Linked DNA regions of Solanum lycopersicum. The protein of the gene in region 1 interacts with the protein of each later gene in a pairwise test. Links are inferred from orthologs where the notes say so. Each region holds a gene or a part of one and is shown on either strand. Other genes may lie near its edges.

The links.
Region 2: the proteins of DNA topoisomerase 6 subunit A (region 1) and DNA topoisomerase 6 subunit B interact in binary tests that used the Arabidopsis thaliana proteins (3 or more experiments, as listed by UniProt). The link is inferred for Solanum lycopersicum from reciprocal best matches to the Arabidopsis thaliana genes RHL2 and TOP6B.

What each region holds. Positions count from the first base shown.
Region 1 is NC_090808.1:1,314,390-1,318,176, reverse strand, and holds DNA topoisomerase 6 subunit A, read left to right. Parts: upstream 1-1,737; 5' UTR 1,738-1,843; coding exon 1,844-3,103; 3' UTR 3,104-3,264; downstream 3,265-3,787. UniProt on the Arabidopsis thaliana protein: Component of the DNA topoisomerase VI involved in chromatin organization and progression of endoreduplication cycles. Relaxes both positive and negative superturns and exhibits a strong decatenase activity. Involved in cell-elongation processes.
Region 2 is NC_090800.1:17,329,461-17,333,156, forward strand, and holds part of DNA topoisomerase 6 subunit B, read right to left. Parts: intron 620-3,696; coding exon 504-619; intron 386-503; coding exon 300-385; intron 198-299; coding exon 125-197; intron 1-124. UniProt on the Arabidopsis thaliana protein: Component of the DNA topoisomerase VI involved in chromatin organization and progression of endoreduplication cycles. Relaxes both positive and negative superturns and exhibits a strong decatenase activity. The B subunit binds ATP.

The DNA.
Region 1 (3,787 bases):
ACCATCACTGTGAATGATGAGCTATAGGTTCAGTAATTTATTTCTTTTTGTTGTTTTTTTTTGCAATTTAGTATTTGTTTTCTTTCCTTTATTTCAATCAATAAGAACTTCATGTTATTTGTTTTATTGGGCACACATTGTATACACCAAGTTGGTAAAATGCATATGTATAATATACAATAATTTAATCAATATAGATATACAATTCAGCTTTATCCAACTCTCGCTCGTCTCTCTTCTCCGTATAACATGTAGCTACAAATGATAATTTATGAGATTTTTTAGTGCTATATGTGAAAGTTTCCCGTTTTCAAAATAACAATGTAAACCAAGTCCAAAACATATTGGGCCAATAGCTATTCAAAATCCTTGTGAATATAGGAAAGTCCTGGTTTGTTCCTCCCTATTATAAAACGCCCTCACATTGTTACAATTCTTACCATCCTTGTATCTGTCCTAGCATGAAACCCTCTTCATCTTCTTCCAATCAAAATAAGGAGGTCAAAATAATCCATTTACAAAGATATTAAATAATTTGGTGGGGTGATAGGACACTGTGGGGGTAATAGGACACTTCTTTATGCAAATACGAAACAATTTTGATGGTGTCTTTATGTCTTTTCTCTCGTGCTATATGATATAAAAGAAATCTTAAATGTTTGTTGCAAAGAAAATCAAGATGCATCCCTTGTTTTATTACATTGGTTAGAGTTTTTACGGAGGAGGAGTTTATTGTTGTTCAAGGTGGAGTCGGAATTTTAATTCTATAGCTTCTATTTTAGGAAAATGGCTTTAAGTATTGATAATTGAGTCCTAAATGTAATACGGTACATATTTAATGAACTTTCTAAATTAATTCGTTTTAAGAAAAGAAACTGCTTGAGTTAGCTGAATCTGTATCTAGACACGATATTTTTATTGTTTATAAGTATATAATACCATTTGTATTTTATTTTTAATTGTGTGTAATGTCACTATAATGAAGTAAATTAATAACAAGCAACTCTTTATTTGCGAAGAAAAGAACAAATCTACACATGAAGACATCTCAAATAGATAAACTGGTTTATAAATATGGAGAAAAGTATATATCGTTTAAATTTGTCATCACATCGTGAGAGTGAAGAATGAGCAACTTTTATATAATTTGGTGATTAATATATGCATCATTTTCTCTACCCCTTTAATGGTTAATGTGTATACACACTATATAGTCTTAGTGATGTGATTTGTATCTACCCTCCTCATGTTCTGTGGAATTATACTAAATATTTTGTTATTGTTGTTATTGTCCCAAATATTAAAAAGGATAGTTCGATGCACGATAGTATTTGATAAATTGAAATGAACTACTTTTTTCGTTTAAAAAAGGATGACCTAGTTTGACTTGGAACGGAGTTTAAAAAAAGAAATAAGAAATTTTAATCTTGTGGTCTAAATTAAAGTTATGTCAAATGTATCAAAATGCACTTTAATCTTGTGGTCTTAAACATGTCACGTGGAAAGTTAAAATTAAAGTGTTGCAAAAAAAAAAAAGGGAAAATTCGCGTAGACATATTGCGAATGAATTTACAGTCCGTCCCCATTAACCCCTCGGGCATCGACCCAGGAAGAATCAATTTTCGACTTATTTTTAAAACAAACTAAAAAGAAAATAGAGACATTCTTTTTGAAACGAAGACAGAAAATTATTCGAGAATATATTTAAGAGATTATTTTGGACATATACCGAACTTTAGGGACCATTTTTGCCATTTTCTTTACTTTAACCAAAGCCCTAAGCACTACAGTACCTATCCTCACATTTATTGTCATTTCCCGCTTCACCTAATCCCCGTCGCCGATGGCCGACAAGAAGAAACGCCGGCGAGCAGCTCACGACTCCGATTCCGACTCCGAAAGCCGGCCTTTCCAATCCAAGCTCAAACCCGACTCCGTCATCCTCCAAACCCTAAAAGCACTCAAATCCTCCTGTTCCACCACTTCCAAAACCCTATCCCTCTCCGACGTCGGCCTCTCCTCTACCTGCCGTGAAGTCGCCGACCTCCCAATCGATGAGGTACAGTCCGAAATTGAATCGTTAGCGTTTACTATAGCTAAATCCATACTCTCCGGTGAAGGTTTCTCTTTCTCCGTCCCTTCCCGCGCTGCCGCTAACCAACTCTATGTCTCCGAACTCGACCGCATTGTTCTCAAAGACAAATCATCGGCTCGCAACTTCGGTAATGTATCTACTGTTCGTAAAGCAACAATTACTCTTAGAATCCTTCAGCTTGTTCATCAGCTTTGCACCAGTAACATTCATGTCACAAAGCGTGATCTTTTCTACACCGACGTTAAGTTGTTTCAGGATCAGACGCAGTCTGATGCTGTATTAGATGATGTTTCGTGTATAGTTGGATGTACTAGGTCTAGTTTGAATGTGGTTGCAGCTGAGAAAGGAGTTGTAGTTGGAAGGTTGATTTTTAGTGACAATGGCGATATGATTGATTGTACGAAAATGGGAATGGGAGGGAAAGCTATACCTCCGAATATCGATAGAGTTGGTGATATGCAGAGTGATGCATTGTACATATTGTTAGTCGAAAAGGATGCTGCGTTTATGAGATTGTCTGAAGATCGGTTTTACAATAGATTTCCTTGTATAATCGTGACTGCAAAGGGTCAACCGGATGTGGCAACTAGGTTGTTTCTGAGGAAGATGAAGATGGAGCTGAATTTGCCGGTTTTGGCATTGGTGGATAGTGATCCTTATGGGTTGAAGATTTTGTCAGTGTACGGATGTGGATCGAAGAATATGTCATATGATAGTGCGAATCTGACTACCCCGGATATCAAGTGGTTGGGTATTAGACCGAGTGATTTGGACAAGTATAAGATACCGGAGCAATGTAGGTTGCCAATGACTGAACAGGATATTAAGACTGGGAAAGATTTGTTGGAGGAGGACTTTGTGAAGAAGAATCCCGCGTGGGTTGAGGAGTTGAATTTGATGGTGAAGACTAAGCAAAAGGCTGAGATTCAGGCGTTGAGTTCGTTTGGATTTCAGTATCTGTCCGAAGTATATTTGCCATTGAAGCTGCAAGAACAAGATTGGCTATGAAAATCAAATCTTGTTGTTTAACTACTTCAATCTTATCGTATTAATTTATGCCTAAAGTTAAATGCATATCTTGTATCTCGTTTACTGTATTTTTATGGGGAGCGTCTTGTTGTGTTAACGCATCTTCGTTCTTATGATTTTGAGTGGATTGGTTTGATTGCGCTTTTTTGAGTCGACCTCTCTACCCCACAAAGGTAGTGATAACTTTTGAATGCGTCCTATCTCTCTAGACCCTATATGTGACTTGTGGGATTATAGTGAATATGTTGTTTTGTTACAGGATGCTTTCCCGAAACAACCTCTCTACCCCACAAAGGTGGGGATAACTTTTGGGTACGTCCTATCTCTCTAGGCCCTACTTGTGATGACTTGTGGGATTATGATGGATATGTTGCTACAGGATGCTTTCCGAAAACAACCTCTCTACCCCACAAAGGTAAGGTTAAGATTTGCAGATATCATGTCTTTTCCGTTGTGTAGTTGTGATAGGATGCTTTCTTTGATCCACGATGATGCAAGAATATTGGAATGTTATGAAGCAGCTACATATATTGTGCGAGAATAAGAACACATCATTTTCTTTTGTTACTTTTGTTTACATTTGATGGTAAAATGTGAAGTTTTTAGCATGTGGTATATCATTGAATATACAGTGTTTATTCGGCTGTTAAAGGGATGAAAGAA
Region 2 (3,696 bases), on another chromosome or scaffold:
CGTTCTCATGGGTCCTTTGCTTCTAAATGGAGATACAACATATTGAATAGATGCAATCAGTTTCAGGACTAAGAATATTACGTTCTCCATGTTTTATATACTTTACCATAAGGGAGATTCTTACTTGTTTGACATCTTTCCCACCAACACTAACTCCAGCTTCCACGATAAATGGATGACCTTCGAATACTTGAGCACTGGATAGAAGACATAGTAGCTTTAAACACTTTATGATTTGTATTGTCCAATCAAAGGATTCATCAAACTAAGTAGATGAAGAACTTAATATATGATCCAACCTTCCTGAAAAGGTTGCAACCATATCTGGGTGCAGCTCCTTTATAATGCCAAGACGTAGATTATATTCTCCAGCGGGACTTAAAATCTGCAATATGGCTTAGAAATCATATGCATGAGATAACTGGGAATCACCAAACATTTTTAGTTTGGTGTTGCTAAAGGATATTGGAAAAGAGGCAAGAATTTCACAAAGAGGAACTTACATCACCACTGGGATCATCAAATTTGGCTTGACGAAACAACTGATGGATGCGAACTATTTGCTGTGGTGTTAGAGATTTAACTGACATTTTTGGGCTAAAATCTGGACCCATCTCCCCTAGGATGTAAAAGAATATTCTGTTTTAGATATAATGTACAATGAATGAAGCAAACCTTTTAGTTATGCAAGTGAATGAGTGGTAAACTATAATTATATGCATATAAGTACAAAGCATATAAATGTTCATTATGATGTTGCTGACACTAGAAATTCCAATATCCATGACAAAAGATTGGTTTATTAATGGTAGATGTGATGATAGTAAGTATAAGGTTTTTATGAGAGAACAAAACACAAACCCATCAAAATGCAACTCTAGCAAGGCTGCGTTCAGTATATCACATGAATTCTCTTTCGTCATGGATATTGGGATTCCCATTGTCAGCAACATCATAATGAATTCTCATTGCAGTTCCAGAATCAGACTTGAAATATTACGATGGCAATCAACCTAACAGTAGGAACATAGTTTTTGTTTTTTGAGATAATACAGTAGGTACATAGTTCTCAACATATTACATATTTCACATGCCAGAATTTCCAGAGCCAGAATCAACCAAAACATAACATTCATGCAACTCAGATTTTCTTGTGAAACATATGTTTTAAATTTCGCTTCCAATTTTAAAGCATAGAGGCTACCAAAGGAACTTAATGATCAAAATAAGACTATATTTGACCTCATCAAGGTTTTTTCTTACTTTGTTGTGTAGTCTGCATTCTTACCCGTTACCAGCCATCAATTTAAATTTTTTCTCTCTACGTTATTATTTGTTGAAGACGTAATATTAATTAAATAAAAGTATGTTCTATTAGCTTAAGCTAATAGATTAGGTGTCACACAAATCTACATGTTATCAGATTGGCTAAAGTCCTCCACTCGAGTCTCACTGCTGTCAAGTATCAAAAAGAACTTCACATGCTTACCATGAAAAGAATCATGTAAGCATGGGAAGGGGCGTGTTGAAGGCACAATGTTTAGTATGCTTTCAATTTCAACTTATTCAACTACGACTTGCTACTCAAAAAAATCGAAATAAGTCTTCGGAAATGATAGGGGAAAATTTGTTCCCAGCTCAGTTTAATTTTATATGATGTTTGACTAGACATTGAATTTAAAAATAGTTTGACTCTTGCATCATATCAGTGATAGCAAAAGCAATAAATGCCTTTTTTTATTACCAAGCAAAAGCAATAATGCTTGAAAAACTTCTTTTTTTACAAGGTAAATAAGTAATGATTGGAAAGTTAGTGCAATAAAGATGACATCATCTCAAATTTAAAAATGGAATAGTGAAACAAATTTGAATTCTTTAAAGTTCTAAAAGTTGTAGTACAAATTAATTTGAGAATCCTATCTTGACATAACAAAGTTTTTTGAAACTGCATATCTTGACATAACAAATGTGATGCCCAAAAAACAGCGAGATCAGAAATAAGCTATTAGATAGAGTATTCACACTTAGTTCCGAACTTACCCTTAATGAAGACTTGTATCAAACATTTTAGGATGTCATGAAACAGAAAGAATGCCATATAAATTAAAATGGAAGTAGTAGTAAATTTGGGTTATCAATCTTTAGTTATGCGAAGAGCATCTATAATATTTTTGTTATACATTATTAAGCAAAAAAGAAAACAAGAATTTTGTGTTCATTGTGTTTAAGAAGACCTAGTTCACTGTATGATCTAAATTCAAAAAATACTTAACACCAGATTAAATAGGCTAGATCTCTTGGTTCACAGAGAAAGCACCATACTATGGTATAGGCTACTGAAGATACTAGAAACACTGTAACACCTACATCTTTAGCACCCCTTTAGTCTACCGACGGTTTACACATGGAAGATTTAAGGAAAATAAAGAGTAGATTACTTCAGCTTATAAGTTATTTATTTTTCCTATTTCTGTGTAGCAGTTGTTGCCACAAGGAGTTATTCCTCCACTTTCTCATTTCAATTCAAGTAGGAAGTTATTTCCTTGTTTTCAGATGGGTGGATAATCCACCAGTGTAATGATATGCAGAAAATTATCCATTTTTTGAGTACTTTAACTCAAGAGATTGCAGGAAGAAAAATTCTTTTCAAACTCCTAAATCACTCTACATTAACTCTGATTTTGTCTAGCAACATCCCATAACTAGATCCATTAGAGGACCGTAACATACACTTATCACATGTGTGTAAGATGAATTCAAATATACCAAATTAATATTAGACTATACGATTGTGCAGATTTTATGAATTCGCTTCATTTCACCATTCAATTTCACTTAGATTGTCATCTTTGTCCTAGGATGTGAATTGTCCATTATCAAAGATCCCATTCTTAATTTCTGATAAAACTCATAAATCTATACGAGGCAGGAGTACGACTCCTAATTCCTAAACCACAAGAGAATTGAAACAAATAACTAACTATTAAAATATCTTAAATTAAAGAATTAATAGCAATAATTTAGAAGGCCTAAATATTAGAATAAAGAATTAATAGCAAGTTCATGTAGAATATATTTAACTATTGCGTCAAAGTAATAGCATTCATCCCTTATATTTACATGGATATTACATTTTATTTTAATGAGAAGTATTATTTATTTGCTGTTTTATTCTATAAAATTTCCCCTCATGCTCAAAGATTACTTTCTTGACCTTCTCAATCACATGAGATGTAATTTTATCGGTAGTTTTAGCATATCAAAAATTGGTTCGGTAAATTCCAAATAGTAATCAATACTATCTCATCATTATAAGAGATTTTATTTCACGAGTTTTGACTTCAATTGCCTAATCACCCTTCCATGACCATTTTCTCCAAAGACGATTTCACAATGCGATTCTGGGTGGTCATAATAACGTGTGAGAGAAATCTTGTTTTACCAACTTTCAATAAACACAAATTCGAATGTTTTTTAAAAAGTGCATGTGTCAAATTATGATTCACAACAAAGTATGATTCACAACAAAGTTCTTCAAACTACTCACTTCACTAAGTAACTCAAAAATCCATTTGCAATTAGTAAAATGAAGTGATTTTTTCGAAGGTTTGCACATACTTTTGAAAGTTAGATACAAACAATGAACACAAGGAGTCCAAAATATATGAGAAAATTTTGGCTCCACAATAGAACAGT